Linked DNA regions of Anolis sagrei. The protein of the gene in region 1 interacts with the protein of each later gene in a biochemical or structural test. Links are inferred from orthologs where the notes say so. Each region holds a gene or a part of one and is shown on either strand. Other genes may lie near its edges.

The links. The genes of interacting proteins can lie anywhere in the genome.
Region 2: the proteins of NHERF1 (region 1) and ABCC2 form a complex in vitro, tested with the Homo sapiens proteins (2 studies listed by BioGRID). The link is inferred for Anolis sagrei from reciprocal best matches to the Homo sapiens genes NHERF1 and ABCC2.
Region 3: the proteins of NHERF1 (region 1) and NF2 form a complex in vitro, tested with the Homo sapiens proteins (2 studies listed by BioGRID). The link is inferred for Anolis sagrei from reciprocal best matches to the Homo sapiens genes NHERF1 and NF2.

Annotation. Positions count from the first base shown.
Region 1 is NC_090022.1:116,222,046-116,230,079, reverse strand, and holds the start of NHERF1 (Na(+)/H(+) exchange regulatory cofactor NHE-RF1), read right to left. Parts: upstream 3,038-8,034; 5' UTR 2,872-3,037; coding exon 2,350-2,871; intron 1-2,349. UniProt on the Homo sapiens protein: Scaffold protein that connects plasma membrane proteins with members of the ezrin/moesin/radixin family and thereby helps to link them to the actin cytoskeleton and to regulate their surface expression. Necessary for recycling of internalized ADRB2.
Region 2 is NC_090023.1:218,845,599-218,853,661, reverse strand, and holds the start of ABCC2 (ATP-binding cassette sub-family C member 2), read right to left. Parts: upstream 3,035-8,063; 5' UTR 2,982-3,034; coding exon 2,937-2,981; intron 1-2,936. UniProt on the Homo sapiens protein: ATP-dependent transporter of the ATP-binding cassette (ABC) family that binds and hydrolyzes ATP to enable active transport of various substrates including many drugs, toxicants and endogenous compound across cell membranes.
Region 3 is NC_090034.1:48,741,685-48,749,564, reverse strand, and holds the start of NF2 (merlin), read right to left. Parts: upstream 3,035-7,880; 5' UTR 3,005-3,034; coding exon 2,945-3,004; intron 814-2,944; exon of another isoform or gene 806-813; coding exon 560-805; intron 1-559. Other genes in the region: NIPSNAP1 (protein NipSnap homolog 1), read left to right, coding at 3,554-3,630. UniProt on the Homo sapiens protein: Probable regulator of the Hippo/SWH (Sav/Wts/Hpo) signaling pathway, a signaling pathway that plays a pivotal role in tumor suppression by restricting proliferation and promoting apoptosis.

The DNA.
Region 1 (8,034 bases):
TGCACCGTGGAACACAAGGAAGGGGAATTTTAAGTAAAGCACAATACCAAAACTCCATCCAAAGTTGGTCTATTGAAAAGCTCTGGATTTAATTTCTTTCTATGTTTTAAATTATGTTAATAATTACACTATGACTGGAGTCTCATAGCAATCAAGAAAGCCTTTCCAGCTACAGAGCACAGCTGAAGAGGAGCGACAAACTTGTGTCCCAAGTCAGGTGTCTCCCAGAAAAGAGAGCTGATATAACACGCAAAGTACGCAATCCATGAGATGTTCTTGACACTCAAGTGATTTCATATTAGGAAAAGGGGAAATCTTACGTCCTCCCACCCAAAGCCTTTTGCAATTTCCTAAAGAAAGCACTGATCTGTCTACAGGTGGCAATCTTTTTGACACAGAGCAGGGCACCAAGCAACAGGCTTATGAACTCTTCCTAAAGGTATATCTGCCCTGTAGAAATAATGCTTGCCCAGCAGAAATAAAGCTATTTGTAACCTTGTGTTGTCGAAGCCTTTCATGTCCGGAATCACTGGGTTGCTGTGATTTTTCCAGGCTGTATGGCCATGTTCCAGAAGCATTCTCTCCTGACGTTTCACCCACATCTATGGCATCCCTCTGAGGATACCTGCCATGTTCAAAAAGCATTCTCTCCTGATGTTTCGCCCACATCTATGGCATCCCTCTGAGGATGCCTGCCATGTTCCAAAATCATTCTCTCCTGATTTTTTGCCCATATCTATGGCATCCCTCTGTGGATGCCTGTCATAGATGTGGGCGAAACATCAGGAGAGAATGCTTCTGGAACATAGCCATACAGCCCAGAAAACTCATAGCAACCTATTTGTGACAATTTTAGCTGCCACGGAATCCTGGAATATGCATTTTGGTGAGACACCAGCCCTCTTTGGCAAAAAAAGGTTGAAGATTTTGGAAAACTGCAGCTCCCAGGATTCCATAGCAATGAGCCAGAGCAGTTAAAGGAGTGTCAAACTGCATTCCTTCCGCTGTGTAGATGTGCCCTAAGTATTCTCTTAGCCACCCAGACTTCCTTTTGCAACTTGCGACAAAGCAGCGCTGCCAGCTGGGCTTGCATTCAGCTCACAGGCAGCGGAAGTGGCCCAGGCTTTCAAGAAGGAGGTCACATTTCATAATGAAAGAGAAAGAGAGCCAGGAGAGAGAGGAGCCCGAGAGGGACTATTATTCCCCAGCACCCAAAGAAAACAGGCAGCAGGACTGAAGCAACAGCAAGAGAAAACCACAGGACCTGTTGCAAAGGAAGCTGGCAAGCCAGATCAGAAGGGCTCTGCACTCCCTCTTCAAGGAAAGCCCAGCCACCCCACGTGGCACATTGCCACTACCATGACTCCTCTGCCACAGTATCAAGAAGACTAGGATGATCATGAGAGTTGCAGTTTGTTGAGGCACCAGCACTCTTGGGCAGAGAGGGCTAAAACTACAACTCCCAGGATTCCATAGATTGGAGCCATGGCAGTTAAATTGGGTGTCAAAGCACATTCAGTCGATGGAATAGTTTCCCAAGGACTTCATTCATTCGAGGGAGTATATACAGTTTTCCCAAGGACAGCATTCATTCAAGGGAGTATATATAGTTTTCCCAAGGACTTCATCCATTTGAGAGAGGATATATAGTTTTCCGAAGGACTTCATCCATCCAAGGGAGTATATATAGTTTCCCCAAGGACTTCATTCATGGGGGGGGGGGGGGGGAGTATATATAGTTTTCCCAAGGATTTCATTCACTGGAGGGAGTATATATAGTTTTCCCAAGAACTTCATCCATTTGAGGGATATAAAGTTTTCTCAAGGACTTCATTCATTTGAAGGAGTATATATAGTTTCCCCAAGGACATCATCCATTGGAGGGAGTATATAGAGTTTCTCCATGGAGTGCTGGTGTCTTCCCAAACTACATCTCCTAGGATCCCATAGCATTGAGCCAGGCGATGAATGTGGTGTCACAAATGCATTAACCTTACAGTGTAGACCAGGCACAGGAAAACTTCAGTCCTCCGGGTGCTTTGGGCTTCAACTTCCACAGTTCCTAATAAGCTGGAATTGTGGGAGTTGAAGTCCAAAAGAGGTGGAGGGCCTAAGTTTGCCCGTGCTTGGTATAGATGCATCTCTCTCTGGCTTTCCCAAGGCCTGCCTGCTTGCCTCCCTCCCCAAACCCCAGGACCCCGTGGCCTTGAGCCCGGGCAGTGGAGGGCAGGCATTCCTTCTCCGGCGTGGCGGCATCCTGGCCGGGCTTGGAGCGGAAAGGCTTCTCCGGCCTTGAACCCGCCCAGCCCTGGCCCTCCCCCCCCCCCCCGGAGTGACCCCGAGACTCACCCGCGGGGGGACGTGGTTGGCTTCCTCGCCCTCCTCGGCCGCTTTCCCCTCCTCCTCCTTCTTGTCCTCCTCCTCCTTCTCCTCTTCCTCCTTCTTCTCCTCCTCCTCCTCCTTGGGCGCTGGGCTGCCCCTCGGCCCCTCCTGGCTCTCCTCCTCCTCCTCCCGCTCGCCGTCTTCCCCGGGCAGCCCTCGGAGGAGCTCCTCGCGGGGTCGGAGGCCCAGCTTCTGGAGGCGCTCGTCGGTGGGCGCGTCGACCACCAGGAGCCGCACGGAGCCCGGCGAGCCCCGGATGCGGCTGACCACTTGCTGGTGGCTCTCCTGCTCCACGTTCTCGCCGTTCACCTCCACCAGGCGGTCGCCGGCGCGGAGGCCGGACTTCTCGGCGGGCGAGTCGGGCTCCACCAGCCGGATGAACTGGCCCACTTTGCCCTTTTCGCCGTGCAAGTGGAAGCCGTAGCCGTTGGCGCCCTTCTCCGGGCAGCAGAGCCGGGGCAGGAGCTCGTTCCCTCCCCCGTTGTCCATCTTCCTCCCTGCCTTCCTTCCTTCCTTCTTTCGCCACTCGGCCAAGAGAAGCAGCAGGTGCTCCTTCGCGAGGGGCGGGACCACGCTCGGAAACTAAGACAAGCCCAAGAAGTTGCCGCCTCTCCGCCAATCGCGGCTCGTCCCTCGCGCTCTGAGCACTCCCGAGCGCCGCGGGGAGATTTTTATTCAAGGGGCGGAGCCAAGCACCTTAGTTGGACCAATGGGCTCCGCGAGAGGGAGGAGTCAGGCTCTACGGACCCGCCCCCTCCGAGGCTGAGACCTTGAAAGGGAGGAGGGAATATGTAAATAGTGGACACGGAGAAGCCCTCCCCTCCTTCCTGATTGGTTGCTTGGAGAAGGACGGAGAAAAGTTCTATCCATTCCCACCCAAGTTACTAAAACTTCTTTCTGTAACAGTCGATGCTTCCTTCCAAGGGCCCTTCCACACAGCCCTATATCCCAGAATATCAAGGCAGAAAATCCCGCAATATCTGCCTTGAACTGGATTACCTGAGTCCACACTCAGATGATGTGGGATTTTCTCCCTTGATATTAGAATCATAGAGTTGGAAGAGACCTCATGGGCCATCCAGTCCAACCCCTGCCAAGAAGCAGGAAAATTGCGTTCAAAGCACCCCCGACAGATGGCCATCCAGCCTCTGTTTAAAAGCTTCCAAAGAAGGAGCCTTCACCACACTCCGGGGCAGAGAGTTCCACTGCTGAACAACTCTCACAGTCAGGAAGTTCTTTCTAATATTCTGGATATAGGGCTGTGTGGAAGGGCCCCAAGTTGGGTTTAAGGGACTCAAATAGACCCAACTTGCAATGGTGTCACTAGGGCAGGGGTCCTCAAACTTTTTAAACAGAGGGCCAGGTCAAAGTCCCTCAAACTGTTGGAGGGCCGGATTATAATTTGAAAAAAACATGAATGAATTCCTATGGGTACTGCACATATCTTATTTGTAGTGCAAAAAAAAAAACCACTTAAAAACAATACAATAATTAAAATGAAGAACAATTTTAACAAAAATAAACTTATTAGTATTTCAATGGGAAGTGTGGGCCTGCTTTTGGCTGATGAGATAGCATTGTTGTTGTTGTGTACTTTCAAGCCGTTTCAGACTTGGGTTGACCCTGAGCGAGGGCCGGGTAAATGACCTTGGAGGGCCGCTTCTGGCCCCCGGGCCTTAGTTTGAGGACCCCTGCACTAGGGGGATCCCAACTCAAGCGGGTGACACCAAAACAACTACCAAGCTGTGTAACATGATTTTTGTTCTTGGATTATAAATGTCATATCCTAAATAGTTATATCATAACAAGCATGGGAAAAGTTTATTAAACACTCAAAAACAGGGGAATTCCAGACAAGAAGCAACCAAAGCCGGCTAATCACCTCCCAGCAAAGGTGAACATGAGGAAGAACTTCCTAATGGTAAGAGCTGTTCAGCAGTGGAACTCTGTGCCCCAGCGTGTGGTGGAGGCTCCTTCTTTGGAAGCTTTTAAACAGAGGCTGGATGGCCATCAGTCAGGAGTGCTTTGAATGTGATTTTCCAGCTTCTTGGCAGGGGGTTGGACTGGATGGCCAACGAGGTCTCTCCCAGTTTCAGGGTTCTGTGATTCTATTATTCCCCCAGGCAGGAAGCAGCCAAGCTTTGAAGCTACAAGGCTATTCAATGCTAATCAAGGTGGCCAATTGCAACTTCCACACCTCAAACAGACAGGAGTTCTTTCTCCCACCATGGACATTCACAGATATGTAAACCACACTTGCCTAGTTTCCAACAAACCTCACAACCTCTGAGGATGCCAGCCGGCCACAGATGTGGGCTAAACGTCAGGAGAGAATGCTTCTGGAACATGGCCTTACAGCCCGGAAAACTCACAACAACACAGTGATTCCAGCCATGAAAGCCTTCGGCAACACGTTGCAAAAGCCTTGTTTTTGAGAGACATCCTGCAGCACATTTTGCTGTAGTTTTTCAATAAATATCTCATAAAGTCCCAGACAATTCAACATAGTTTGTGACAGCCACAAAAACTACGTTTCTGGAGTATAACAACTACCCTCAAAGTAAGTATCACACAATTATACAGGAAACAACACTTTCAAACCAGGAACAGATTTATTTTCAAATTTTGTTGCATAGTGTTATATTTTTGTGCGAGATTTCATCCATTTTAAAATAAATAAATGATATTCCTGTAGATAATAATCAGAAAAAAACTGTTTTAAGAAGTCCAGTTTACATGTAGTGTATCAATATGCTTCCAAGCTTGAATCTCTAGGCCAGGGGTCCCCAAACTAAGACCTGCAGGCTGAATGCAGCCCTCCAAGGCAACCCATTTACCCTCATCCTAAACTGAAGACTGAGGGTCACCTTATATCTGAAACAATGTGAAGGCACACAACAACAGCAATCCTAATTAACTTGACTCTCCCATCTGCCAAAAGCAGGCCCTCACTTGCCATTGAAATACTGGTATGCTTATGTTGGTTAAAATTGTTCTACAAATAAGATACCTGTAGTGTGTATAAGAATTCGTTCATTTTTTTTCTTCCAAACTATGATCTGGCAGTCTATAATCAACAGTCTGAGGGACCATGAAGTGGCCTTAGCTTTAAAAGCTAATTTACTTTTGGAACCTTCTAATGCCACTAAGGTTCCAAAATAAAGCAGGACACAAGTAAATATAATAATGGTGATGTGCATGCACTCCAGTCAAAGTTGTCATTACTATCCACTTACAATGACACACAAGCATGAACCGCACAGTTTCCTCTTCACATGTTACCAGGATGTGTTATTGCTTTGTTGCTGCTGTTTTTAAAATAACCATTGAAATTGTCAGATTTTCTGGTATTGTAACTGCAGTATTGGGGTATGATTCATGGAGGTGACACAAACTCTAGCAATGTCACTATAAACTTGAAATAAAGGGTTGAAACAGGTGAGCATATTCCTCTGCCTTATTGAAGCAAAGTGTCCTCTGCCAGGAAAGATCAAAACCATGCAGGGGAATTAAGTCATAGGCCATCCCCTGAGTGCACATCCCAGATAATCATAACTGTGTGGCCATAATGGCTTTGTTTATGCAGTGGTTTTCAACCTGTGGGTCCCCAGATGTTTTGGCCTTCAACTCCCAGAAATCCTAACAGCTGGAAAACTGGCTGGGATTTCTGGGAGTTGTGGGCCAAAACAACTGGGGACCCACAGGTTGAGAACCACTGGTTTATAGGTTGTAAAGATATCTACAACCACAGAGTACTGGGGTGACCTTGAAGAAGAAGGTATGTTTAGGGTTTGTTTAACTTGGAGAAAAGAAGGCTGAGAGGGGATATGATAAATATGTTTAAATATTTGAAAGGATGTCATATTGAGGAGGGGACAAGCTTGCTTCTGGTGCTCTGGAAACTAGGAACAAGGGATTCAAACTGCAGGAAAAGGGATTTCACCTAAACATTAGGAAGAGCTTCCTGACATTAAGAGCCGTCCGGCAGTAAAATAGGCTGCTGCCTCAAAGTGTGGTGGAATCTCCTTCTCTGGAGATTTTAAACCAGAAGCTGGATAGCCACTTGTCAGGAGTGCTTTGATTCTGTGTTCCTGCATAGCAGCAGGTTGGACTAAATGGTCCTTGGGATCTCTTCCAACTAGATTCTATGAGTCTACTCTATAATTCTAATATTGTTTCCAAATCCTTTCTGTCGTAGAAGGAAGCAACATGAAGAACCATGGATCATGCATTAATTGTTTCTTCAGAGTCAGAAATCATGACACACAATGAACAAGACATTTCACACATTATGTCAAGCAAATGTAGATCTTCTTCAGTGCAAAACATTTTGCCGCCTGAGGCAGGAGGCGACATAGTGTCCCCCTCATTCCATGCACCAAACCCAAATGGTTTGGTCCTTGAGTCATTCCTCACCACTAGAGATGGAGCAGCATCTTCTCATGCACACAGGTGGCTAGTTTTAGGGAACAAGGCAGGCACCCAATTGTCTCTACCAATACCTTGTTGCCACCTCCCAGAATCTGCTGCTTGAGGTTACCCCTTCATTTTGTTTAATAGTAGAGTTGCCTCTAACCTGTTTCCAAGTACTCCTGCCCCAGATCCATGGAGAGTGTGGTTGTTTGCAAACGGAAGTATGTTATCGTACTGGCCTTCAGAAGGAAAGTGAAAACCTGGCCCTAGAGTCAAGCCTTCAGAGATTAACTATAGCACAATAATAGCTATGTAATTATGTGCAATGACTTTTGGAACAGTCCCAGATTACGAATGTGGATCGCGCCATTTTTGAATAGTGATTGCAATGTTTTATATGTTTTAATGTGAATTTAATTTTAATTTTTAAATCATTAACTTAATGTATTTTAACTGTTTGTTGTTCAACGGCATTGAATAGTTGCCTTGATTCCCCTTCGGGGTAGAGAAACGTGGGATTCAAATAGAGTAAGTAAGTAAATAAGTGCAGACCTGAACATAGGAAATCTCAGTTCTTTATTGAAACCCGTTAAGATTTCATATTGATTCCACCATTTTGTGTGGAATGTATTTCCAACCACACTCTTGAATGTACCTCCAAGCTATGTTTGGACTTATACCGTATTTTCAGGATAAGATAGGTTGTGATGCAAACACTTGCCCAAGTTTCCTCAAGGCTATCTAAATGTGCTAGAATGATCGAAGCATCCTTGTATTTTAAAATGGCTGCAACACCCTTTATTTATAATTAAACCCAAAAGGCAATTTCTTCCCATGGTTTGTCAACTGCACAGGGGTTTTTTTTAATCAGGGAGCCAAACCACAAGCTGCATGCACCAAGCAGACTGGGGAACACAAGGGAAGGAAGAGGCCGCAGCCTGTCCTCCGAGGGTGTTGGCAGAGAAATGGTTTCTCCAGCTACTGCATTCATCAGCACAGGAAGTGTTTCATCATGGGAAGATACTTCTCTGCATGCGTATTTGGAGCTTTTATTGTGTTTTTGACTCGTGCTAATCCTTCTAGCTCAGTTTGGAGTAGCAGCTTGAGTATTAAGAATCAGACCATCCCTATATGGTTTGACCTAGGCATCAGATCTGTTGATTCCATATCTGTATTTGGTTCCAAACAAGACAACTACCTGCTCCCATTTACATCCTGATTTAATGGATTGGAGCTCCC
Region 2 (8,063 bases), on another chromosome or scaffold:
ATGATTTCCTTTTACCAAATTTATTCAGAGGGGATTTGATTTTTATCTTCTTCTGAGGCTGAGAGAGAGCAACTTGCCCAAAATCACCGAGTGGGTTTTCATGGCTGAGTGGGAATTGGAAACCTGATCTACAGAGAAGTAGTCCAATGCTCAAACCACGACATGGTATTGACTTGCCATACTTTTCCAATGGAATCACAAAACAGAGTTGCCTGTTATATCTATATATCTCTATCTATCTATAGGACATGTATCTGTTTACCAAGAAGCAGTCAGTTGTGGAGTTCGTTTCCAAAAGGTACCAAATCCAAAAAATTGAAAAATGAGGCATAGGTGGCAGCATGTTGTTGGCTATGAATAGAATATTATGTATAGATCAAAACTATAAAAATGTGTCAAATCACTTGGGTATAAGGACTCGAAAATTGCATTATATAGCAAAAGACTGCATGACCTCACCATGGTTTTTTTTTATTCCTGTAACATTTGTTCAGATGGATTTGGTACCTTTTGGAAACATGATCCACAGTTGCAGGCCTCTTCTATGCAGCTGTATAAAATCCAGGTTATCTGCTTTGAACAGTATAAATTCATATCATCCGATTCAAAGAAGGTAATGTGGATTATCTGCTTTGATAATCTGGATTACATGGCAGTGTAGAAGGAACCATAGATTGCATGCGGTCTTACCTGCTCAGGATTATTTTATATAGTAACCTAATAATATATTATTTGTTTTAGGTTTAGTTGTTTTCTGGTCTTCTGTTATCAGCTAATAACTTTCTTGTTCTTTTGCCCTCAGTGAATTAGAGAGGTCTTACAACAGTTTGTTTGTTCTAGCTTAGTTATCATCCAATTGCAGATGCGATTTTACTGACCCTTTGTACAAGGCCACATGCATCCAAATACATAACACTTTTAACTGGTCACCATTATTCCGACTGTGATGAGGTCATGTGTGATGAGGTCATGTGTGACTCATCATGACTAAGGACTATTCTACCCATTAACTACACATTCTCCGCTTTCTGGGTTGTTGTTTTTTCTTGATTGGATCCTAATAATAATCTAAGGCCCCTTCTACACAACCCTATATTCCCAGGATCCCATCCCAGATTATTTGCTTTTAACTGGATTCTATGAGTCTCCACTGCCAGATAATCTGGGATAAGATGATAACCTGGGATCAGATCCTGGGATACAGAAGCAGTGTGTTCTAATCTGCCCACCACATTTGTGCATTTAACTTTAGAGGATTTAATTAATCACAGATATAATTGATATGGGACCCTTCTACACAGGCAGAAATACCACCCAGAATATCGAGGCAGAAAATCCCACAATATCTGCTTTGAACTGGGTTGTCTGAGTCCACACTGCCATATATTCCAGTTCAAAGCAGATAATGTGGGATTTTATCCAGCTGTGTGGAAGGGACCATCATCTTGCTAGGAATCTCTGGGGTTTTTAGCATGATTTCAGGAGGTTGACCACAGAATCATACTAGATGACCTAAAATTCCTATAAGTATTCTCTCAGGCCCCTTCTACACAGCTGTATAAAATCTAGATTATCTGCTTTGAACTGGATTTTATGGCACTGTAGACTCAGATAATCCAATTCAAAGCAGATAATGTGGATTATCTGCCTTGATAGGAGCTGCAGTGGCACAATGAGTTAAACCTTTGTGCCGGCTGAAGTGCTGACCTGAAGACTTGAAGGTCGGCAGTTCGAATCTGTGAGATAGGGTGAGCTCCCATCTGTCAGCCCCAGCTTCCCATGCGGGGACATGGGAGAGGATGATAACACATCCGGGCATCTCCTGGGCAACATCCATGCAGACAGCCAATTCTCTCACACCAGAAGCGACTTGCAATATATTATTTGGTTGCTTCTGACACAATAAAAATGCATTGATAGTCTGGATTTTACGGCAGTGTAGGAAAGCCCTCAGATAAAAAGAATGTGTTTTTTTGATCACAGTTACCCCACTTTCATATTGATCCTTCAGTCTCCCAGCACTCATGAAAATGAAAAAAAAAAACACACTACTGTTCAAGTAAATATGGAATTCTGATATATCATGTAGCTCATTCTAGGTGGAACCATGTCTTCTCTTTCTGTTTTTGAAAAAGTTACTAGTTGCATGTTCTCCACGCATGTTCTGAAGCTCCCCTATCCAATAAAGCAGCGGAAAAGATATTAATGAGAACCAAGGGGGAGCTTTCCAAGGAGAAAAGAACTCTGAGATTATTCATAATAGGTAGTATAATGAGAGGTATAGCATTCCCAAAGCTTAGTATATCTTTGAAACAACAGCATTCAATGAGGATAGCTTATTAATCTTACAACCACAATCACACTGAATTTGCTGTGTGTGTTCAAGGCAATGACACATATACACAGCTGTCCCAAATCCTCATCAAACAGCCACAACACTGGCTGTACGGCATACTCCCATCGTTCAAGACAGATGTCTGCAACCTCTTGGAGTGTCACAGTGTCGCCGTCGTCATAATTAGCTCTGTTGGAAACGGAAGCCCCTTCCACACAGCTGAATAAAATCCCATATTATCTGCTTTGAATTGGAATATATGGCAGTGTGGACTCAGATAAAAGGTAAAGATTTCCCCCTGACATTACGTCCAATCGTGTCTGACTCTGGGGGTTGCTGCTCATCTCCATTTCTAAGCCGAAGATCCGGTGTTGTCCGTAGACACCTCCAAGGTCATGTGGCCGGCATGACTGTGAGGAGCGCTGTTACCTTCCTGCCAGAGCGGTACCTATTGATCTACTCACATTTGCATGTTTTCGAACTGCTAGGTTGATCGGTTCAGAGCAGATATTGTGGGATTTTCTGCCTTGATATTCTGGGTTATATGGCTGTGCGGAAGGACCCTGAGTAACAGATTTGGGTAGAAGAGGCTGCTACTTACCCAGAAAACAGAGCCACAGAACTCCCCCAAGGCTGTCATCGCCATGGCGAGGCTCTCTCTTCTCTTGTCCTTGTCCAACTGATTTATCAATCCCAGGAAGCTGAACAGGGCAAAAGTCCCACATGCTCAACAGAGGGGCCTTTGGAACAATCACACAGTGACAGGACATTAATCGTTAACTCCAGATGCATGTTTAGCCTCATGAATCAGATTTGTGAAACTTGAATATAGTAGTCTGGAGCAGGATTTTAGAAGATATAAAATGAAATGGACTCAGTGCAGAGCATTATGTCGTCTTGGATTTTAAAAGTCTCAAGATGTAACTGACCTCAGTCTAGCAGATAAATAATTCCACTTTTCCAGAGGTGATATAAGAGAAAACTGCTCTTATACTTATCAAGATGATAAACACTGCTTGTTTTCCACATCGGATAATTTCACATACCGGTCTCATCTTCAGTGTTATCTAGGACAGACCCAACTTAGGTATGGAAGTTTACTACCTGTTCATTTTTTGTTCCAAAGGGATTCTGAAATGACACTGCTCAGTTACAGATGGGGCGAAATCCAGTTATCCCAGCCAGGCAGTTTGTCTCTGTATGTTCATTGTTTTGTTGTTTATTTGTTCAGTCACTTCTGACTTTTCGTGACCTCATGGACCAGCCCACACCAGAGCTCCCTGTCAGCCATCACCACCCCCAGCTCCTTCAAGATCAAGTCAGTCACTTCAAGGATACCATCCATCCATCTTGCCCTTGGTCGGCCCCTCTTCCTTTTTCCTTCCATTTCCCCCAGCATTATTATCTTCCCCAAGCTTTTCTGCCTTCTCATGATGTGGCCAAAGTACTTCATCTTTGCCTCTAATATTCTTCCCTCCAGTGAGCAGTGGGGCTTTATTACTTGGAGGATGGACTGGTTTGATCTTCTCACAGTCCAAGGGACTCTCAGAATTTTCCTCTAGCACCTCAGTTCAAAAGCGTCTATCTTCCTTCGCTCACCCTTCCATATGGTCCAGCTCTCACATCCGTAGGTTACTATGAGGAATACCATAGCTTTAACTATGCAGATCTTCATTGGCAGTGTGATGTCTCTACTCTTATTTTATTGAGATTGGTCATTGCTCTCCTCCCAAGAAGTAAACATTTTCTGATTTCCTGGCTGAAGTCTGCATCTGCAGTAATCTTTGTGCCCAGAAATACAAAGTCTGTCACTGTCTCCACGTTTTCTCCCTCTTTTGCCAGATATCAATCAGTATGGTTGCCATAATCTTGGGTTTTTTTATGTTTAACTGTAACCCAGCTTTTGCACTTTTTCCCTTCACCTTGGTTAGAAGACTCCTTGGCTCCTCCTCACTTTCAGCCATCAAAGCAGTATCATCAGCATATCTAAGGTTGTTCTGCATACAAGTTAAATAGGTAGGGTGAACGTATACAGCTCAGCCCTGCCATTCTCCTTTCCCCATCTTGAACCAGTCTGTTGTTACATGGTCTGTTCTTACTGTTGCTACTTGGTTGCTGTATGTTCATAGCACAGCCAAACAAGCATCAACAAGTACCTTAATGTCACAATATCCAGTTTCACAGGCTGGTTCTATACTGGATGATGTAAAAAATACATAAATCAATTGAATTATTAATTACGTTGGAAATGTACTAACCAAAAGGGGCAAATTAATTGTTTTTAATCTTTTTTTTCATGTCAGGAGCGACTTGAGAAATTGCAAGTTGCTTCTGATGTGACAGAATTTGCCGTCTGCAAGGACGTTGCCCAGGGGACGCCCAGATGTTTTACCATCTTGTGGGTGGCTTCTCTCTGACAGACGCTCCCCGGATTCAAACCACCAACTTTTCAGTCAGCAGCCCTGCCAGTACAAGGGAGGGTTTAACCCATTGAGCCACCGGGGACTCCGTTTTTTAACTAAAGTGATTGACTGGGGGAATTTCAGTACAAATTCAGAAATAATTAAAATTGGTTTATTTTCCAAACCCTAGTTTATTTGGGGTTCTGCAAAACAAGCGTGTGGTGTTTGTTTTTTTTATCCCATTAGGGTTTGTTAATTGCAAGATATAGGTCGCAAAACCAAGCCATTTACTAAAGAGTAGTTCCAGTGGGATGATTTAAAAAGGCTTTTGAAGTGGTTGATTCCCTCTACTTTATTTCTAATATTAGTAAATGATCCATATCTCTCATGTCAAACATTCCTGTGAATGTTTAAAATCCAAGTGAACCTCAAAAAAAGTCCAGAAAAAAGAAAGTAATTCCAGGAAATGATTTCCACTACTTTACAAATCACTTTTTATAATAAATATATTCAAATGTAATGCATCACAAAAATCCAGTTCTACAAACTGAAGAATGTTTCAAGTTTTGCCAAGCTAAGGTAAATATTCACTGATGAATGAACATGTTGAGATATGTTTCATTTCAGGTACCCTGAACTACAATGAGGAATTTTGGCAGATTTTATTTGTTAAAACCTAGCAGACAGATATGAATTGAAAAGCTAGTGTACAAATTTGATTTTGAAATGTATTTATCTGATGTAAAAAAAAATGTTATATTGGACTGGCATATTTAGATACAAATCCCTATGTAGCTATGAAACTCAATCAGGGACTCACTATTTCTCAGTTTAATTGGCTCTCTGGAATATTGTGACAATAAAATGTAAACAACAGCCACATGTGCCACCTTGAACTCAGTGGAGGAAATTTATTTATTATTTATTTACTCTATTTGTATCATGCCTTTCTCTACCCCGAAGGGGACTCAAGGCGGCTTTACATATGGCAACCTTTGGACAACAAACAGAATACACTTAAGCTAAAACTGAAATTAAAAATAAAATTAAATGCACATTAAAACATATAAAACATTGCATTCACTATTAAAATCACACCATCCTCAATCATAATTCAGGGCCGTTCCAAAGATCAATTGCACATATTTCAATGCTATTATTCAATATCGTTAATCTCCAAAGGCTTGATCCCAGAGCCAGGTTTTCACTTTCCTTCTGAAGACCAGGAGGGAGGGAGCTGCTCTAATATCACTGGAGAGGGAATTCAACAGCTGAGGGGCCACCATGGAGAAGGCCCTGTCTCTTGTTCCCACCAATCGCGCCTGTGATGGAGGCAGGACCAAAAGCAGGGCCTCCCCATGATGGTTCATAGAGGGAGATACATCCGGACAGGTAAGCTGGGCCGGAATAGTTTAGGGCTCTATAGGCTAAAGCCAGCACTTTGAATTGTGCTTGGTAGCAGACTGGAAGTCAGTGGAGCTGATGTAACAAAAGGGTTAGATGCTCCCTGTACGCCACTCTGGTGATCGGCCTGGCTGCTGTCCATTGTAAGCTTCTGAACAGTATTTAAAGGCAACCCTGCATAGAGCGCGTTGCAGTAATCTTGGGATGTAACTAGAGCATGGACTACCGTGGCCAAATCTGACCTCCCAAGGTACAAGCACAGCTAGTGCACAAGTTTTAATTGTGCGAATGCTCAAAATTCCCAAAGTAAGGAGTCTAATCTTTAGTAGAGATAGTTTGGTAGCTGGTGGTACCTTTTGCATCCAGATGGTCCTTCTGTATTCAGCACTGAACTCTGCAGAAAAACAAGTCCCAGGAAACTGAATTGTGAAGCTCTTAAACTATGTATGTATGTATTACTTTAATTGGCATTCAGATGAGGAAAAGCAATCTAAAGATCGGGAGAATTTAAGAAAATGAAATTATATAGGCAAGAAAAAGAGAAAGCAAGAGAAACAGGTGGAGAGAGGTGGATGAGAAACTGGGTTTTCAGAATTCTTGCAATTGTTTCTTTCTCTCCAAAGCTCAAAATATGGACAGGGATGTGGTAAAGCATGGATGAAATTTATCATCTTCCTGGCATTAAGGTTTTTATGGTAGTCATGTTATTCCTGCTGTTGAGTTGTAGTCCAGTGCTCACGCCACTCTACCATGCTGGTTTGTTGTAGTAATGTAACATAGTATAAATGTCAGTTTAAAAGTGACATGAAAATTAGGAGAAAGCACAGACATCGAACTATACCTGTCCGGACATATCTCCCTCTATGAACCATCTCAGAGGCTAACATCTTCTTGGGACACCATGCTCCCAGTTCCACCTTCTTCGCAGGCGCGACTGGTGGGGACAAGAGACAGGACCTTCTCTGTGGTGGCCCCTTGTCTATGGAATACCTTCCCCAACGAAATTAGATTAGCGCCCTCCCTCTTGGACTTCAGAAAAAAAAGCAAAAACATGGCTGTGGAACCAAGCATTTGGGCAGTAAGCAGGACAAGAAATGAACATGGATTATGTACAATTGTTATTTGATACTGGAACGCCCTGAACCATGCTTCTGGATTGTGTGTTTTTATGTTAGGTTTCATGTTTTGTAAGGCATTGAATTTTGTCATGAATATGTTGGAAACAGCTGAGTCCCCCCAGGGGTGAGGAAAGCGGTATATAAATGAACAAATAAATAATAAATAAATTTCTGCAGAATTATGCTCTGCGAGCAATGACATAGGATCTTAACACATATGTTAACCTTTTTCTGCTAACTTTCTGAACTCTAGAAGTCATAAATTTTAATTGGGAAGGAGTGGATTGCAAAATGTTAATTCCAGGGCTGACCACATCAACCAGGGTGGAAGTTAAGGAGATACTTCGCAAGATTAAAATCTTCACCTATCCCCGACTGTTAATAATAATATGATCCACAATATTTTCTTCCTTCCTCCCACACAGACTGCTTTGAATCATGCTAAATTATCCAAGAGATATTTTGCTGTCTCATGCTTTATACAATCAGAAAATTCACAACAAGCTCAGATTCATTCTTGACAAAAGGGTCCAATGTCCATAGGACAGGCAATTTAAATCTGTTTTGGTTAATTATTAGATAGTAAATGAAATATTGGCATCTTGTATAAATGTTCCTATACTTTAGGGCAGCATTACACATGAAATCAAATCACATAACCCCAGGAAAGAGAAAAACAGGGGCAGGAGAGTTCAAGTCTTGCAGTGAGACAAAGAACATGCACTTGACTTTTCCATGACACAAGAATTCCTTTGCAAAGGCTGCGTGAATGCCAGGTTACCATAGCAAAATTGATTTTTCAAA
Region 3 (7,880 bases), on another chromosome or scaffold:
ATATATGGTTTTGCTTTGCAGCACCCCTGTTCTTAACTAGTCAGGTGTTTGTAACATGGAGACTGTCTGGTTTTTGGAGGCTTTTCTGGCCTCAAAGCCCCTTGGAATACTATCACTACCGTAGTCCAAGGGTGCCATTGACACTGCTAGAATACAGTTGAGTGCCACTGTAATGCTACAAGGCCCTGGGAGTTGTAGTTTCCCAAGACCTAGAGTCACCTGCAGGCTGAGAGAGGTGGTATACAAATGTAGCAAATAAATAAATAATAATTTTTTGCAGCCTTGCCCAACGACAAATCCCATAATGCCATTAGGCTTAGGCCATCCTGGAGATTTCTCGCACAAGAACCCTCGTCGTTATTCCAGCCATTTCCTGTACAGAAATTATATATGGCTGCACTATACATCCCAAAAACAAAGGGCTACTCCCAGGATCCTGCAGCACTGAGTCACAGCCGTTCAGATGATGTCCAAGGGCACCCATGCAACAGTGTCCTTGGGCCCTTTCCTGTACAGAACCCAATCCTGGCCCAAGGCCACACTACAAATCCCGGCTCACCTCGCAGTTGAACTCCATCTCGGCCTCCATGGTGACGATGCGGACGGTGAAGGTCTTGGGCTGCTTTCTCTTCAAGGAGCTGAAGCTCATCCGGGAGGCGATGGCGCCGGCCATCTTCAGGGCCTCTGGGAGATCTAGTTGGCCCCACCGGAAAGTCAAGTGCGCCAAGGGGGGGCAGCCAAAGGGCCCCCCAAAAGATCCATTGGAATGGGCAGAGGGTTGAGGCAAAGAAGGCTTTATCCGGCCCTGGACATCTCAAAAGACGGACAAAATGATCAGTGTAGAAGTTGATTGATTGATTGACTGGTTGACTGGCTTAAAGAGATGTTTCGATCTGTAGGTTTTGGGGGAAAAGGCATTATATTCTGAGTAGATGGATTAGACTAATAATTGCTCAGTTGTTGATCAATTGACTGAATGATTTCGGAATATTGGCGGAAGGAGGGGCTACGCTGGATATATTAATTCAAAGAGAGGTTTTTATGGGGGGGGGGGTTCTATTAACCTATGCTTTTTAATGAACAGATGGGATTACTTGAACAATCGACTGATCGATGTATAGATTGATTGATTCATCCATCAATCTACAAATGGATCTATGATTGATTGGATGATTAATTGGCCGGTTGAATGATTTGAAGTGAGGTGCTATTGGAGAAAGAAGAATAGTGTCCTATGGTTTTTAAAGGATGCTTGGGATGATCGCTCAGTTGATCAATCAGTCTCTGAACTGATCAATCAATACATTGATTGATTGATCAATATATCAATTAATCAATTCAGAGACTGATTGATTGGCGGGTTGAATGATTTAAATGGAAGAATTGGAGGAAAGGAGTGTTTCTATTCTCTGATGGTTCTTAAAGAATGGAGGGGACAATTGATCAATTAATCAATTGATCTGACCAATCGATTTATAGGCAGATTGACTGACTGCCGAGTTGTCTGAGTGATTTAGAGGATTTGGGGGAGGGGGAGAGCAAGGTGCTATATTGGTTCTTAACAGCTAGATACAATGATTGATCAATTCATTATTAATCGATCGATCAATCAATTAAGAGTTTGGGGAAATATTAGTAGAGGAAGGGGCTACATTGGATGGTTTGATTGATAAGATGGTTTTGATTGGGAGGGTTTCTATTGTCCTATAATTCTTAACAAAGGGATAAGACAATCGATCGATGCAGGGGCCTTGGTGAAACGAGAGGCTATGTTGGACTGATTGATAGAAAGAGAGGTTATTATTGAGGTTGAGAAAGCTTTCTATAGTCTTTATGGCTCTGAACGGATGGATGGGATTCCTGATCGATCGATCAGTCAGTTGGTTTAGAAGCATTGGTTTATATTGGAGTGACTGATTGAAAGACGAGTTATTATCGTGACAAAGGTTTTAATTTCTTGTTCAATCAGAGGCGGCCCTAGGTAATTTTCAATGGTAAGCAAACAGTATTGTGGCACCCCAGCCAATCACTGATATATATTTTCTGTTTGTCGTGGGAGTTCTGTGTGCCATATTTGGTTCAATTCCATCATTGGTGGAGTGCAGAATGCTCTTTGATTGTAGGTGAACTATACATCCCAGTAACTACAACTTGCATATGTCAAGGTCTATTTTCCCCCAAGAGCGCCCCTGGGAAAATCAACTATACTGCAAATGCTTACTTTGCGTAATGGGTTGAGCCGCCCCTGTGTTCAATGGTTCTCCAGGGATGGGTGGGACAATGGATCAATTAATCGATTGATTGATTAATTGATTGAAAGAGATACTTATTGGGATTTTTTTGGGAGACTTGGGGTAAAGAAGTGTCTTTCTTGTCCTATGAGGGAAATGAATGGGATCATTGATCAATCCGTCCATTAACTGATTAATTGATCAATCCATCAATCAATCAATTGATCAGTCCATCCATTGACTGATTCATCAACTGACTGAAAAAGTGTTTTGTATTGGGAGACCCTTGTCCTATGATTCGTATTGAAGAGTTAGGACAAGGGATCAATCAGTGGATCGATTGGAATAGTTTTAGGGAGGATTGGAAGAGGGAGGAGCCAAACTCTGGCTTGGTTTATTAACAAAGAAAGCTTTATAGGGAAAATGGGGGGAGGGAAGAGTTTCTTTTCCTTCGAGGATATAATAAATATCGATTATCTATTGATTGATTCAAAAAAGGCCACTTATGGGGCATAAACGGCTTTTTTCCAATCTTAAGAGGAGATGAGGGGGAAGGGAGGCCTACGAAAGCCGTTTCCCTCATGTTTTGGGGTAAAAACGGAAGGAAAGGGGGGAAATCAGGGGTGCGGGGGGGTATACGGAACAGCCCCCTGAAAGCGCGGGGGGAGGGAAGGGGGAACAGCCCCCCCGAAGGAAAAGAAATCGGCCCTCACCTCCGCCGCCGGAGCCGGAGCTGCCACTCCTCGTCTCTCCCGCTCCCGATTGGTTGGCATTGGCCACGCCCCCTCAGGAGGCGGGGTTGAGGCCCAACGCTGCCTAGTGGTTGCCTCTCCTCGTCGTTTGCTATTGGTTGTGGAGGGAAAATAGGCCACGCCCCCGAAGAGGCGGAGCGGGCAATTCTTTTCTTTTGGAATCCTATTTTAAGGAGACATAGAGGTGCCTACGAGATGGCTTATGTGTTATACTTCCGGGTGCCGATAGAAAAACGAGGCGCCATTTGCGAGGCGGGAAAATGGAAAGCAACTCTTTCCCCCTCGGCTTTTCAAACGAAACCCGAAGTGTTAGATGTCTGTCTTAAAGGGAAAGGGTAATGAGTGTTCCGATTGGTGCGTTCGCCTGCCATTTGGCCCCCAAAGACCCGCCCTCTCCATAAAGGCCATTGTAATTGGCTGGCTGGGAAAGAGCGCCCCCTCGAGGAAGAAAGGCCGAATGACGTTTGTTGCTAAAGCAAGGCCTCGCGGCCCCGCCCCTCTTGAGACCAAGCCACGCCCCTAAATAAAGGGGCGTGCCCTCCTTCGCCTCCTGGTTCGGAGAGGGAAAAAATGGCTGCTACGCGGAAGCTGGTTTTGGAGGCTCTTCGGGGCAGAGCGGCCTTTTCCTTTTCTAGCCTGGGCTTCCGGTAGGAATATATGTTATATACACATATGTTACATACATGCAGCAATACTCTTAATATGTTTAGGAATAGATTTAATATATTGGGCAATAGTATTAGGAATAGATTTAAATTATATTCAAATAGTTTGACTATATTGGGGAATATATCTGATGTATTTAGGAAACATTAACAACCTCAGATATGCAGATGACACCACTCTGATGGCCGAAAGCGAGGAGGAGCTGAGGAGCCTTCTAATCAAGGTGAAAGAAGAAAGCGCAAAAGCTGGGTTGCAGCTAAACGTCAAAAAAACCAAGATTATGGCAACAAGAATGATTGACAACTGGAAAATAGAGGGAGAAAATGTGGAGGCTGTGATAGACTTTGTATTTCTAGGCGCAAAGATTACTGCAGATGCAGACTGTGGCCAGGAAATCAGAAGACGCTTACTTCTTGGGAGGAGAGCAATGTCCAGTCTCGATAAAATAGTAAAGAGTAGAGACATCAGACTGGAAACAAAGATCCGCCTAGTCCAAGCCATGGTATTCCCTGTAGTAACCTACGGATGTGAGAGCTGGACCTTAGGGAAGGCTGAACGAAGGAAGATAGATGCTTTTGAACTGTGGTGCTGGAGGAAAGTCCTGAGAGTGCCTTGGACTGCAAGAAGATCCAACCAGTCCATCCTCCAGGAAATAAAGCCCGACTGCTCATTGGAGGGAAGGATACTAGAGGCAAAGTTGAAGTACTTTGGCCACATCATGAGGAGACAGCAAAGCCTAGAGAAGGGAATGATGCTAGGGAAAGTGGAAGGCAAAAGGAAGAGGGGCCGACCAAGGGCAAGATGGATGGATGGCATCCTTGAAGTGACTGGGCTGACCTTGAAGGAGCTGGGGGTGGTGACGGCCGACAGGAAGCTCTGGCGTGGGATGGTCCATGAGGTCAAGAAGAGTCGGAGACGACTGAACGAATGAACAACAACAAATTTAGGAATAGATTTAGAAACAGGTGTAATATATGTAGCAATACTTTTAATATATATTATATAATATAAATATATGTAATATATATAGGAATAGATTTAATATATTTAAGGTATTTAGGAATAGATTATACACACACACACACATATATACATATATCAATACTTTTAATGTATCTAGGAATGTAATATATTGAGGAATATGTTTAGGAATAAATTTAATATATATATAGCAATACTTTTAATATATAATATATATTGTATAAATATATATTATATATTTAGGGATATTTCTAATATATTTAGGAATATATATATAATACAGCAATACTTTCAAGGTATTTAGTATCTAATATATTTAGGAATATAAAGTAAAGGTTTCCCCTGACATTAAGTCTAATCGTGTCCAACTCTGGGAGGTTGTGATCATTTCCATTTCTAAGCCGAAGAGCCGGCGCTATCCATAGACATCTCCAAGGTTATGTGGGTGGCATGACTGCATGGAGTGCCATTACCTTCCTGCAGAAGCTGTACCTATTGAACTACTCATATTTGCATATTTTCAAACTGCTAGATTGGCGGAAGCTGGGCCTAACAGCAGGAGCTCACCCCACTCCTCAGATTCGAACCACCAACCTTTCACTCAACAAGTTCAGCAGCTTAGCGGTTTAACCTGGTGTGCCATCAGGGGACCCATTTAGGAATGTATTTAGGAATATGTATTATATATAGAAATGGAGCCCCCGGTGGCGCAGTGGGTTAAAGCACTGAGCTGCTGAGCTTGTTGATTGAAAGGTTGCAGGTTCAATTCTGGGGAGTGGCGTGAGCTTCCGCTGTCAGCCCTAGCTTCTGCCAACCTAGCAGTTCGAAAACATGCAAATGTGAGTAGATCAATAGGTACCGCTCCGGTGGGAAGGTAACGGCGCTCCATGCAGTCATGCCAGCCACATGACCTTGGAGGTGTCTACGGACAACGCTGGCTCTTCGGCTTAGAAATGGAGATGAGCACCACACCCCAGAGTCAGACATGACTGGACTTAATGTCAGGGGACTACCTTTACCTTTTTATAGGAATGCATTTAGGAATATATATATATATATATATATATATATATATATATATATATATATACAGTCTCTCTCTCTCTCTCTCTATATATATAGAGGAATATATCTAATATATTGAGGAATACATTTAATATATATAGCAATACTTTTAATATAATTAGGAATATAAGTGATATACTTAAGAACATATTTAGGAATGTATTTAATATTCCTAAATTATTGCTATATATAGCATTACTTTTAATATATTTAGGAATATATCTAATATATTTAGAAATATATTTTATATATATTGCAATACTTTGAATGTTTCCTTTCTCTGTATCAAAGTTAATGAATGGCCCGCTTCAGGCCAAAGGTTTCACCCAAGGCCAATGGGGGTGCATTTCTACTTGATTTTATGTTATGTTTATATTATTCCTAGCTTTTATTATTACTTTATAATATAATATTATTATAGTATAGATTTCCATTATGGTTATATTATTTTTTACATTGTTATTGTTTTATTCAGAATATTTCCAATTCTGGGAATATTACAGAATCTGTGGATATGGCGCCTATCCAAAGTGGGATATTAGTATAATAATAATAATAACAACAATACTTTTATATTACTTATTATTAGTTTTAGTAATATTAGTATTTAATAATATTCTTAATAATATTAATATGTAATAGTATATATATATAATAGTAATAATACTGAAATATATACACACATATGTATAGTATATAATAGTAATAATACTGATACACGCATACGCATATATAATAGTAATAATAATAGTAATACTGATAAACATATGTAATAGTAATATTTTTTTTATCGTGTCAGTTGTATTACATTTTTGACAGAACAAACAAACAAACATACAAAAGACACAGAGTTTGCAAACTTGGTAGTTGATTAAATGTCCTTTGACCAGTGCCTCTGGTGTTGCCGCAAGAAGGTCCTCCATTGTGCATGTAGCAGGGCTCAGGTTGCATTGCAGCAGATGGTCAGTGGTTTGCTCTTCTCCACACTCGCATGTTGTGGATTCCACTTCGTAGCCCCATTTCTGAAGGTTGGCTCTGCATCTTGCGGTGCCAGAGCGCAGTCTGTTCGGCGTCTTCCAAGTCGCCCAGTTTTCTGTGTGCCCAGGGGGGAGTCTCTCATTGGGTATCAGCCCTTAATTGAGGCTCTGGGTTTGAGCCTGCCACTTTTGGACTCTCACTTGCTGAGGTGTTTCAGCGAGTGTCTCTGTAGATCTTAGAAAACTATTTCTTGATTTAAGTCATTGGCGTGCTGGCTGATGCCCAAACAAGGGATGAGCTGGAGATGTCACTGCCTTGGTCCTTTCACTATTGGCTACTACTTCCCGACGGATGTCGGGTGGTGCAATACTGGCTAAGCAGTGTAATTTCTCCAGTGGTGTAGGGCGCAGACACCCCGTGATAATGCGGCATGTCTCATTAAGAGCCACATCCACTGTTTTAGTGTGGTGAGATGTGTTCCATACTGGGCATGCATACTCAGCAGCAGAGTAGCATAGCGCAAGGGCGGATGTCTTCACTGTGTCTGGTTGTGATCCCCAGGTTGTGCCAGTCAGCATTCGTATGATATTGTTTCTAGCACCCACTTTTTCCTTGATGTTCAGGCAGTGCTCCTTGTAGGTCAGAGCACGGTTCAGAGTGGCTCCCAGGTATTTGAGTGCATTGCAATGCTCCAGTGGGATTCCTTCCCAGGTGATCCTCAGAGCTCAGGATGCTTGTCTGTTCTCCGAAACTCTAGGTGCTCTTACTGCCTACTACAGGGAAAACCAGCTGATCCCTAATCCATCTAAAACACAGATGGCTTTTCATCTCAAGAACAGTAATACCAATATATACATATATACATTATATTAGTAATTATAAGAGTAATAATGCTGATATATATGTCTCTGTTTGTGTAATACTGATATATATATACACAGACACACACATATATAATAGTAATAATACTAATAATAATCCTTAATAATGTAAAAGTGTTTTTGTTATCATAGGCCCAATGTAATAATATATCGATAAGAATACTAATAAAACTAATAATAATCCTTAATAATATAAAACTTTTGTTGTTATCATAGGCCCAATGAGGACCAAAGCAATGAGCCCAGGCTGTAATAGTAATAATAATATCTATTAATATATTATTATTGTTATTATTATTATTATTACAGCTTGGCCTCATTCCTCT